Oryctolagus cuniculus: one gene and its partners. The protein of the gene in region 1 interacts with the protein of each later gene in a pairwise test. Links are inferred from orthologs where the notes say so. Each region holds a gene or a part of one and is shown in the gene's direction. Other genes may lie near its edges.

Evidence for each region.
Region 2: the proteins of REL (region 1) and ATG9A interact in binary tests that used the Homo sapiens proteins (3 or more experiments, as listed by UniProt). The two-hybrid records come from large-scale screens. The link is inferred for Oryctolagus cuniculus from reciprocal best matches to the Homo sapiens genes REL and ATG9A.
Region 3: the proteins of REL (region 1) and SNRNP25 interact in binary tests that used the Homo sapiens proteins (3 or more experiments, as listed by UniProt). The two-hybrid records come from large-scale screens. The link is inferred for Oryctolagus cuniculus from reciprocal best matches to the Homo sapiens genes REL and SNRNP25.

Annotation. Positions count from the first base shown.
Region 1 is NC_091433.1:141,782,753-141,786,281, reverse strand, and holds part of REL (proto-oncogene c-Rel), read left to right. Parts: intron 1-193; coding exon 194-298; intron 299-406; coding exon 407-619; intron 620-1,945; coding exon 1,946-2,014; intron 2,015-2,142; coding exon 2,143-2,208; intron 2,209-3,529. UniProt on the Homo sapiens protein: Proto-oncogene that may play a role in differentiation and lymphopoiesis.
Region 2 is NC_091434.1:20,238,083-20,242,063, forward strand, and holds the start of ATG9A (autophagy-related protein 9A), read left to right. Parts: upstream 1-1,165; 5' UTR 1,166-1,350; intron 1,351-1,431; exon of another isoform or gene 1,432-1,695; intron 1,696-1,732; exon of another isoform or gene 1,733-1,793; intron 1,794-2,312; 5' UTR 2,313-2,370; intron 2,371-2,793; 5' UTR 2,794-2,822; coding exon 2,823-2,925; intron 2,926-3,043; coding exon 3,044-3,087; intron 3,088-3,962; coding exon 3,963-3,981. Other genes in the region: tRNA endonuclease ANKZF1, read right to left, coding at 484-606, 709-817. UniProt on the Homo sapiens protein: Phospholipid scramblase involved in autophagy by mediating autophagosomal membrane expansion. Cycles between the preautophagosomal structure/phagophore assembly site (PAS) and the cytoplasmic vesicle pool and supplies membrane for the growing autophagosome.
Region 3 is NC_091450.1:34,568,557-34,572,702, reverse strand, and holds SNRNP25 (U11/U12 small nuclear ribonucleoprotein 25 kDa protein), read left to right. Parts: upstream 1-1,330; 5' UTR 1,331-1,562; coding exon 1,563-1,604; intron 1,605-2,324; coding exon 2,325-2,415; intron 2,416-2,519; coding exon 2,520-2,625; intron 2,626-3,048; coding exon 3,049-3,123; intron 3,124-3,403; coding exon 3,404-3,461; 3' UTR 3,462-3,773; downstream 3,774-4,146. Other genes in the region: POLR3K (DNA-directed RNA polymerase III subunit RPC10), read right to left, coding at 1,019-1,129.

The DNA of each region.
Region 1 (3,529 bases):
CATCATAAAGCTCTAAACCAAGTTAGGTGAAGCAGTTAGAAAAGAAAGGGACAGATGTGGATGATTAATGTGTTTAGTATCTTTTATTTGTATGCTGAAACATTCTTTAAATAGTTTTCCTCAAGTCCTCCCCTTCAAAAAGAAATATTTTACCAAGGTAGAAACTCGTATTTTAAAAATTGTTTCTTTGTAGGTGCTCCAAATACTGCAGAATTAAGGATTTGTCGTGTAAACAAGAACTGCGGAAGTGTAAGAGGAGGAGATGAAATATTTCTACTTTGTGACAAAGTTCAAAAAGGTACTTCATTTTTGTATTTTGGTTCATTAAATTCAGAATGTTTTTAGATTAATAGATGGATTTTATTTTGTTTTCCCTTTGTTATTTCTTTGGTTTCTTATTTACTAGATGACATAGAAGTTCGTTTTGTATTGAATGATTGGGAAGCAAAAGGCATCTTTTCACAAGCTGATGTACACCGTCAAGTAGCCATTGTTTTCAAAACTCCACCATATTGCAAAGCTATCACAGAACCAGTAACGGTAAAAATGCAGCTTCGGAGACCTTCTGACCAGGAAGTTAGTGAATCTATGGATTTTAGATATCTGCCAGATGAAAAAGGTATGACATTTTGGTGGCCCATAATCCTTGGGCCCCTGCACCCACGTGGGAGACCTGGAAGAAGCTCCTGGCTCCTGGCTTTTGGATGGGCCTGGCTCCGGCCATTGCAGCCATTTGGGGAGTATGCCAGCGGATGGAAGACCTTTCTTTCTGCCTCTCCCTCTCTCTGTCTATAACTCTGCCTCTCAAAACAATCTTTAAAACATTTCTTAATTTATTTGAATGAAAGAAAGCTCCCAACTGCTGGTTCACTCTTCAGATGCTCAGAATGGTTGGGGCAGGGCTGGGGTCTAGGCCGAACCAGGAACTCAATCTGGGTCTCCCACATGGGAAGGGACCCAATTATGTGAGCCCCCATTTCTGCCTCCCAGTGTCTGTATTAACAACTAGGAGTCAGGAGCTAGAGCCAGGAAACCGATCAAACCCAGGCACTCCAACGTGGGATGCGAGCATCTTTAACTGCTAGGCTAAACACCTGCCCCCTTTCCATGAACTCTTTGAAACCTCGTGTTATTAATGTATGTTTCTTTTCCTGAAAGTTTTCATTTTTTTTCTATTCCTCTATTTTTAAAAATACTCATTTTATTTGAAAGGCAGAGAGAAAGATCTTCCATCTGCTATTTCACTCTTCAAATGCCTGCAACAACCAGGGCTCAACCAGGCTAATGCCAGAGGCCTGGAGCTCAGTTCTGGTCTCCCACATGGATGGTCCTGAACCCAACTACTTGGGCCATCACCTGCTACCTCCTATGGTGTACATTAGCAGGAACCTGGATTGGAAGTGGAATAGCCAGGACTCAAACCAAACACTCTGATAAGGGATACAGACATCCCAAGCAGCAACTTAACACTTTGCCAAACACCTGCTCTGATTTTTTTTTTCCTTTACATGCTTTACATCTGTTTCTTAGGTTTGATTAATCTGGAATTGTTTGAGTATTTGAGCTGTTTATCAAATTTTCTGTTTTATTTTTGAGGCTCTATTTTTTTCTCTTGTGCATCCTTTTAAAAGAGGGGAAACTTGCCACTCAGACTGGTCTTTGTTTTGGCTCTTTTATCAGAACATTTTTTATTAGTTGATGTTGTTAACTTATAGGTATTAGAAGCAAACAAGATAAATATTTGAAACATTTTTACACGATAAAATATTCTTTCCCACTGGTTTGGGACATTCTTTACACTTTTATACTTACTAAGTCCATACTATGTACATTTATTTAAAGCATTTTCATATTCTTGTTGAAATAAAACGCCTGTTTGTTTATTAATGGAGAGGAAACATAATCATGGTGATTCACCTGCTTTCTTCATTTCTTTTTTAATCAGATACTTACGGCAATAAATCAAAGAAACAAAAAACTACTTTACTTTTCCACAAACTGTGGCAGGATTGCGGTAAGTGTATTTTGTATTGATTCATATTTATGTAGGTTATATATTTTGCTTTTCATTTTTTTCAAATTTTAACTGATAATGTTATTTTTCAAATTATACTTAATAATGGGAAAACTTTATCATAACAGTTAATTTTCCTGAGAGATCAAGACCAGGTTTCCGAGGACCAGGAGAAGGAAGATTCATCAAAAAAGGTATTTTATCCCCAACAGTATATTGCTTGTCATCAGACTAATATTTTATATAAGAATTCCATTTTTAGGAATGAGTAACTGCTTCTTTGTTAAACACTCCTGTAAACTTTTTTAGGCTTTCATTATTGAATGAATTGAGCTCAGTACCTGAAAGTTGCCCTGAAAACAGATTATGTTTTGCAGATTTACTGTCTAAGAAATTGTATTTTATTTATTTGGTGGTATTATTAATTGTAGTGTATCATGGAAGAAATGGTTTAAATCTGGCTGGTCATCTTTTTTATTTTTTATTTTTTTTAAAGATTTTATTTATTATTTGGGAGGTAGAGTTACAGAGAGAGAGAGGGAGAGAGAAAGGTCTTCCATCTGCTGGTTCACTCCCCAGTTGGCTGCAATGGCTGGAGCTGAGCTGGTCCAAAGCCAAGAGCCAGGAGCTTCTTCCAGGATTCCAAAGCAGGTGCCAGGGCCCAAGCAGTTAGTCCATCTTCCACTGCTTTCCATAGCAGAGAGCTGGATCAGAAGAAGAGCAGCTGGAACTAGAACCAGTGCCCATATGGGATGCTAGCCTTGCAGGAGGATGCTTAGGCCACTCACCACAGCATCAGCCCCGATTTTTTTTTTTTTAAGCCAGTGTCATCCATCACCCTTTGTTTGTTTGATATTTACTAATTTATTCATTCATTCATTGAGTTATTTGAAGGAGCCAGAAGCTTCTTCCGGGTCTTCCATGTGGGTGCAGGGGCCCAGGGACTTAAGCCATCTTCTGCTGCTTTCCAAGGCACATTAGCAGGGAGCTGGATCTGAAGTGGAGCAGCTGGGACACCAGCATCCATTTGGGATGCTGGTACTGCAGGTGGTGGCTTTACCCAGTATACAACAGTGCTGGCCCTGTCATCTATTTTTAAAAATTTTGATTGGAACACAGCCACAGTCATTTCATTATATATTGTTTCCAACTAGTCTCTTTTTTACAGTACAGCAACAGAGTTGGAATAATCCTAATAGAGGGTGTATATAGTCCACAAAACTTAAAATACTATGTGGTCCCTTACAGAAAAAAATTTGCCAAGCCCTGGTTTAGAAAATACAACCAAAAATTAATTGGTAGTCTTTTTCCCCCATTACATTATTTTTTTTAAAATTAGCTCACCTATTTTTACTTACTTCAAAAGACAGAGATCTCCTATCCACTTATTTACTCCCCAAATGCCTTCAACAGCTTTGGCTGGGCCAAATCGAAGCCATAATCTAAGCATTTAATCTGGGTTTTCTCAGTGAGTGGTAGGGACCCAACTACTTGAGCAATTATCTGCTACCTCCC
Region 2 (3,981 bases), on another chromosome or scaffold:
TCTGGTAAGGTTACTTTGGAAATAAAATTATTTTTAACTGTACAAAAGCCACCTCTCAGATGTCATTTTTTAAACTTACACTTCCAATTACACTGGGCAGTTTGTCTCAACAGAGGTACAAGAAAATATGTACAACTAATGTTGTATGAAAGCAATAATAAATGTTTTACATTCAGCCAAAAGGAATGATTTGATTGGAGTCCAGTTAAATCTGAAATACATCTAGGCATGTTAAAGTGTTTTTCAAGTGTAAGGGTAACGCGATGACACATGAGCAATGGCAAGAGTCTTATGTGGAGACGTTTGAGGGGGGCTGTGCTGGAAACTCCCAGTGAACAAATCCAGCACCCAAGCCGGGCAGTGCCAGGAAGCACGTGTGCCCGGAGAGCCAGCCCTCTCCGCCAGAGCCTCAGGAGTCCACCCCGAGCCTTCCCGGGTACCTGGACAGGAAGTAGGCAGAGCCTCCCCCGCAGCGTGGCTCACCAGGCTCACGCCTCGGAGGAGCGGCGCGTCCGCGCGGAGGTCCAGCAGGGAGACGGCCGCAGGGGCCGCAGCTGCAGCGGGAGCTGGCGACATAGCTGAGCGGGAACTGTTTGGAAGCCGCTCCTGGAACAGAACGAGGGAAAGAAACAGCTCGATCCAGCTGCCGCGTCTGCTGCCTGGCTGGCTGGGTCTCCGACGCCGCAAGGCACACCTCGGCCCTCCCACCTGCTATCGGCTCTGCGGTAAATCCTTGACACCACTCGGCTTTCTCAAACCCCTGGTCTCGGACCACCACCGAGTGAAATGGGGGAGCTCCCAATCCAGTCCAGCACATTTAAAATCACCGCGGTTGCCTAGCCGATCACGCTCCGTTCCTCGTGCTACAAGCCCCGGCAATGACCGACCGCGTAGACGCGTCCCCGCCCTCTGAAGCCATACCAAATGTCCCGGGAGCCCGGCGTACGCACGTCTCCAGTTCGAAAGCCGGATTCCGTAACACCACAACAATACCGTCACTACGGAGCAGCGAAGAGGACAAACCGCGGCGCCCGCACCTGAGCCCCGCCCCACGTAGAGCACCGCATTGGTCCTCTGATTGTCCAAGAACCGCCTCTAGCCTTTAGTCCCGCCCCCGGAGCCGAGAATTGGCCGTCGTGTCTCCACCCCCTATGTTCATTGGCCAGGCCGGCTGCGGGTGACAGTGAGTAGCAGAAGCCGGGCCTAGCGCTCCGGATCAGGCCGAGCTGGGCCGAACAGAGAGAGCCCAGGAATCGCTCGGGTCGCGGTTCCTGAGGTGACACGCGAGACCGGTTATTGAAATTCTAAGGCCCGGGCTGGGCCTGGCCTGGGGGGCCTGAGGAGCCCTAGGTGAGCTCGCGGCGGGTAACGGGGGAAGGGGCGCCGCGGGCGGGGTGGGGGCGCGCAGCCGAAATGTTTTGATAGCGGGCGCGCGCGCTGGGGGGCGCGCGTGGGCGGCGGGGCCGCGCTCGAGGTTGGCCGCTGTTGGGAACCGAGCCCTGGGCCCGGGGCCGGGCCACCCTGGGGCTCGCTGGGCTCGGGTCTCGGCGGCTGGGTGTAGGGAGGCAGCCCAGCCCGGCCAGGGTATCAGCTGTAGGACCGCCTCGATCCCCCCATCATCGGCCGGAACCCCCGAGCCCAGGCCCTGCCTGCCGGGGCTCCATGGGCCCTGGGTCTACACAGACCCAGTGAGTGGTAAGTTTCCTGAAGAGCAGGGCTCTTACTAACCCAGGGACTCCCACCGAGGCCAGGCTGAGCCAGGATCCCCAGTCCCCAGGGCCCACCCTCACTGGGTAAGTACCACCTCGCCCCTGCCCGGCTCCAGGATCCTATGAGCTCACAGATCCACCCAGGATCTGGAGTGTCCACTGAGTCAGGACTTCCTGTCCAGCTCTGCCCGCCTGCTGAGTCTTTGGTGCTGTGGACACAGGGGAATGGGGTGACCAGTGAGGTCCTCTTCAGAAGACTTCCCTGGGGGGTGTGGGCCCCGAGAAGCAGGTCTTGATCGCCAAAGCCAAGGTCAGGCAATGGAGGAGCGGTCCAGGGGGGCTGCTTGGCCTCAGAGCGGTAATGACTCAGTCTCTACAGGGTCAGTGACTTTCTCTCTGGGGTCCTGGAGCTGAATGAGTGGCCCTGTTTAGTATAGCCGGACGAAGTGCCCCTAGCCCTGGGCTGGAAGGGTGCCTCTTCCCCGGCTGCAGGCTTCCTGCCCAGGTTTGGCCTCCTCTTGGTGGTTCTTGGGTGGGGGGAAAGGTTGGGTTCCTTTCTGGCCCCTCTCCCCACCCTCTGGGGCCTGATGCCTTCTCCTCCAGCAGCGGCAGAGCCAGGGCATCGAGGGCTGGAGTGGAGCAGACACTGTCCATGGAGCTGGTAGGGCCATGTGCTTATCTCAAACCTTTGCTTACAGAATGCTTCCAAACTGCTAGTTTCTGGGGAAACCAGGCTTTCAGAAGGGGTAAAGGGAGGGACCCTCCACTGACTAGAAGATGAAACAGCCCCCACCCCACAGCCCTCGCCCCCCTCCCCCTAACACCAGGGGCAAATGCTGAATTCAGATCAGAAAGGCACTGTAGGCACCCAGTGAAGACTCTGGGAATGGCTGGCCAGAGCTAAGGCCTCCAACGCCCTAAACTTACTGTTTGCTTGGGTTTCTTCCCTTCTTCTGCCTCTGAGCCGCTGAGGGTGGTATAGAAACAAAGCGCAAGGAGTCTCTCTTCTTCTGGCCTGGGAGGCAGGGTAGCATGCAGGGGCACCTGGGTCTGAATCAGGGTTTCTTCTTCCTGTCACTGGCAGGTGGACCGGGTGGCCAGGGGGCGGCGGTGATGGCGCAGTTTGACACGGAATACCAGCGCCTAGAGGCCTCCTACAGCGACTCACCCCCTGGGGAGGAGGACCTGCTGGTGCACGTTGCTGAGGGGAGCAAGTGTGAGTCCTGGGGCGCGGCAGCCAGAGCCGGGGCATGGGAGAAAGCTGAGGGAGCACTGGGGGAACGAGGGGCTTGGGTTGCTTCAGGTCCCTGACATCTGTGCTCCTGTGTCCACAGCCCCTTGGCACCACATTGAAAACCTTGACCTCTTCTTCTCTCGAATATCCTTTGTGTCTCTGTGCCGGGGCCCTTTAGCCTCTCCCTAAGTCAGGTCCCTGATGGGAGGCCACAGTGGGTTTCACTCTGATCTCTGGAGGAGGAAATGGAGCTCATCCTGAGGCTGGTGAAATAATGACCGTGAAAAATAATGATGCGGCCGGCACCTCGGCTCACTAGGCTAATCCTCTGCCTGTGGCACCGGCACACCGGGTTCTAGTCCCGGTCGGGGTGCCGGATTCTGTCCCGGTTGCCCCCTTCCAGGCCAGCTCTCTGCTGTGGCCAGGGAGTGCAGTGGAGGATGGCCCAAGTGCTTGGGCCCTGCACCCCATGGGAGACCAGGAGAAGCACCTGGCTCCTGCCTTCGGATCAGCACGATGTGTGCCGGCCACGGCGGCCATTGGAGGGTGAACCAATGGCAAAGGAAGACCTTTCTCTCTGTCTCTCTCTCTCACTGTCCACTCTGCCTGTCAAAAAAAATTAATTAATTAAAATTAAAAAATAATTAAAAATAATGATGCCCCACGTTTACCGAGAGCTACTGCCCGCGTGCACTTTGTGGTGTTCATTTATAAGGGAACTAAGGGTGAGCCTCCTGTTTGATGAGATGTTAATAATCGTGATAATTAATGTCTTTTGACTCATTCAGTGTCTCTTCTGTGTTAGATATTTTACGTGTGTTATTTCAGACCTAATAATCTGATGAGACAGGTGTAATCATTCCTAAGCTACCACTATGGACAAAAGCTTAGAGGTGAAGGAACTTGGGCAGAGCCACACAGCTGGAAAGTCACAGAATGAGGACTTAAGTTCAGCTATGACATCAAACCCTGTGCTCTTAACGCTGCCTTTGCTGGTCGTTTCTTCTTAACAATTGCACGTTTATAATCTACACCAGA
Region 3 (4,146 bases), on another chromosome or scaffold:
GTGCCAGGCCAGTGCGGGCGGCTCGCCGGCTGGACACCCCGGGGCTCCAGGTGCAGGGCAGACCAGTGCGCGCGGCTCGCCAACTGGACACCCCGGGGCTCCAGGTGCACGGCAGACCAGTGCGGGCGGCTCGCCGGCTGGACACCCCGGGGCTCCAGGTGGGTGCCAGGCCAGTGCGGGCGGCTCGCCGGCTGGGCACCCCGGGGCTCCAGGTGCAGGGCAGACCAGTGCGCGCGGCTGGCCGGCTGGACACCCCGGGGCTCCAGGTGGGTGCCAGGCCAGTGCGGGCGGCTCGCCGGCTGGACACCCCGGGGCTCCAGGTGGGTGCCAGGCCAGTGCGGGCGGCTCGCCAGTTGGACACCCTGGGGCTCCAGGTGCGTGCCAGGCCAGTGCGCGCGGCTCGCCGGCTGGGCACCCCGGGGCTCCAGGTGCACACCAGACCAGTGCGCGCGGCTCGCCAGCTGGACACCCCGGGGCTTCAGGTGCACGGCAGACCAGTGCGGGCGGCTGGCCGGCTGGACACCCCGGGGCTCCAGGTGGGTGCCAGGCCAGTGCGGGCGGCTGGCCGGCTGGACACCCCGGGGCTCCAGGTGGGTGCCAGGCCAGTGCGCGCGGCTCGCCGGCTGGACACCCCGGGGCTCCAGGTGCGAGCCAGGCGGCCGGACAAACACAGGGAAGGAGGCCTGCCGAGGCCTTCTGCCCTGGACCGCGCTCGGACCACAAGGCAGCAGAAGGGACCGAGGGGGGCGGGAGCACTCCAGGGAGCGCGAGTAAACGGAGGCCGCCCGAGGAACGCCGGGCGCCACGCGGGACGCGGAGCGGCACCGAGGGCGGCCGCGGCCGGAGCTGGAGCCGCCGCCCTGCCCCGACCAGGCGACTCCGAAACCAGCCCCAGAAGGGAGGCGGCGGCCGGGCCAGGCGAGAGGCGCCGGCGTGCGCGCGTCTTGGACAGATGCGCCCACAGGCCAGGGACGCGAGGCCGGGGCCGCCGGAGGCCGACCCTAACGTCGAGGCCCACCTTGCGGGTGATGTTGTGCACGTAGGGGCAGGTGTTGCAGGCGAAGCGGTGGCAGCGCTGGCCCTCCTCCACGATCAGCCCGTTCCCGCAGCCGGGGCAGAACAGCAGCATGGCGGCGCCCTGGCCCGCGCGCCCCCACGGCCGGAAGCTCCCTGGCCGCGCGACGCCGACACCCCGCCCACCTCGACCTCACGTTGGTCCCGGCGGCCCCCGCCGCTAGCCCACCAATAGACACGCCGACCCTCGCTCCCAGCCGGCCCTGCGGCAAGCCGCCTCGCACTCCCATTGGTTGGGGCGCCCGCCCCGCCCCTTGGCCCGCCGGTGGTTGGACGTCCTCACGGAGGTGGGCCCAGTCCGCGTCCGTGCTCCGCCTCCCGAGCGTGGAGTGGCTGGGCCGGCGGCCGGCGGCTCCGGGCTGGCGACCGTGGAGGCAGCGGAGCAGGCCGAGGAGGCCGAGGGGCCCGAGGTGCCGGAGGAGGATGAGGACGAAGAGGAGACGCTGCCTCACTCGGAAGCGGTGGACGTGTTCCAGGAGGGTCTCGCCATGGTGGTGCAGGACCCGCTGCTCTGCGACCTGCCGATCCAGGTGCGCGCGGCCAGAGCGGCCACCTGCCGCCGGAGAGGTGCTGATGGGGGACTGCGGCCGGCCTGGTCCGGGCCCGGCGTGAAGGGGCAGGGGAAACGGTGCCAAACTTGATGCAGAAGGTTGTCGGTAAAGGACAGTTGAAGAATGGGAGCTCCGGCTGCTCCGCTCCCTTCCGGCTCCCTGCCAGCGCTCCTCGGGGAGCGGCGGAGGGCGGCCCAGTGCCTGGGGCCCGGTGAGGCTCCCGGCCCCTGGCTTCGGCGTGGCCTAGCCCTGGGTGCTGGGGCCGTTTGCGGATGGAAGACTCGTGTTTCTCTCCCCTCTCCTTCCTCCCCGCCCCGCCCCCGTCAAATAAGTAGATGCAGAGGCGAATTTCCTCTAAGAAAAGTGTTATACTGCAGTCTTATCACTGCCGTGTGTTCCTGCCTTGTGTATTTTGCACACATGCCTCCCACTTAGTCCAGGGCTCTGGCCTGGATCCTGGTGACCAGGGGCTCTTGGGCAAACTGAAAGGCCCAGCGTCTCCCTCCTCCCCCCCCAGCAGCCCCTGGGGGCTCACTCTCCCTGCTTCCACAGCCATTCGGCATGAAATAGAGAAGTCGGGTGGAACCTGAGACTGAGGTGCTAAAGGGAGCCCCTCCCCCGGCCCTCCATAAAGTTTGGTTCCGTTTGGGCTGATAAACAAAGCCAGGGTTCCCACTGCCCCTGCTTGGCGCTTTCTAGGTGACTTTGGAAGAGATCAACTCCCAGATTGCACTAGAATACGGCCAAGCGATGACGGTCCGAGTGTCCAAGATGGACGGAGAAGTCATGCGTGAGTGCCGCTCTCCGCTTCAGATGGTAGCGGGCCTGGCCGTCGGGAAACCCGCAGGCGGAAGCCAGGGCTGTGAATCCCCACCCCACGTCTTCTCCCTGCAGCTGTGGTCGTGGTGCAGAACGCCACGGTCCTGGACCTGAAGAAGGCCATCCAGAGATACGTGCAGCTCAAGCAGGAGCGAGAAGGGGGCATTCAGCACATCAGCTGGTGAGTGGGACAGCAGCCCCGTCACGGCCCGTCACAGGGGCCTGCAGGAAAGCTCCCTCCGCTGCTCTTACACGTCTCTCGTCATGTCACCCAGCTGAGCTGCTGATACCTTCACTTGGGGACACTTAGGACACTAGTGTGTCCAGAAGTGGCCTCCCCAGTGTCGGCTGGAGCACCGTCCATGGCCTACGCTGGTGACAGCTGGAGCACCATCCGTGGCCCTGTCCCTTCCTCAGACACTGCTGGCCTCGCTGTCCTGCTGAGTCGCGTGTCCTCACAGCAGCTCAGCACTGCCGTCTGTCTCCTTCGCGAGGTGTGCGGGGCCCAGCTGCCCCTCTGCCCCTCTGGCAGGCCCCACGGCACTGTCCCCCCGAGCTGCCGCGCTCGGCCTGCTCGGGAGTTTACCTGAGGCCCCCCGTGCAGGTCCTACGTGTGGAGGACGTACCACCTGACCTCTGCGGGAGAGAAGCTCACAGAGGACAGGAAGAAGCTCCGCGAGTAAGTCCAGGGAGGGGTCACGTGGTCTGCTGCCTCCGCGGGGCTCAGGAGATGGCAGGCAGCGGAGCAGAGCATGGGCACTGCTGGTTCTCTCCAGCCGTGGCTCAGGGCTGCACAGCTCGGGGCGACGCGTGCAAGTGAACCGCGGCCGGCTGCTCCTCTCGGGCCTGCGGGCGGGCGCGCACGCCTCACCTGTGGCTCACTCGGGGTCTCCCACACCCCTGCGGTGGGGACTTACACACCCACCTGCAGTCAGACACTGCGCCTTTTGTCCTTTCAGTTACGGGATCCGCAATCGGGACGAGGTTTCCTTCATCAAAAAGCTGAGGCAGAAGTGAGCCTCCAGACAAGACAGCCCTGCACCAGTGGCCAGGCTCCTCCTGGGCTGTGCCCCTTCACAGAACGGCTGTTGACGCAGCCTGGCCGTGCCCAGCACGAGCTGTCAGGACTGAGCAGCACGGGGTGGGGCTGGTTCTCCCCGGGAGCATGACCTGAGCCTGTTTTTACCCGAGGGTAAGCACCCGAGCCACCAGCAGACCCCCCGGGCTGTTTGGCCCCACCCACTGTACAGAATGAACTGTGTGCTGGGGGTCTGGCCCCACCCTCTGTGCAAAATAAACTGTGTGGTCTGGCCTGGCCCCTGTATAGAATGAACTGTGTGCTGTGGGGTCTGGCCTGGCCCCTGTATAGAATGAACTGTGTGCTGTGGGTCTGGCCTGGCCCCTGTATAGAATGAACTGTGTGCTGTGGGGTCTGGCCTGGCCCCTGTATAGAATGAACTGTGTGCTGTGGGGTCTGGCCTGGCCCCTGTATAGAATGAACCTGTGTGCTGTGGGGTCTGGCCTGGCCCCTGTATAGAATGAACTGTGTGCTGTGGGTCTGGCCCCTGTATAGAATGAACTGTGTGCTGTGGGTCTGCCCCCTGTATAGAATGAACTGTGTGCTGTGGGGTCTGGCCTGGCCCCTGTATAGAATGAACTGTGTGCTGTGGGTCTGGCCTGGCCCCTGTATAGAATGAACTGT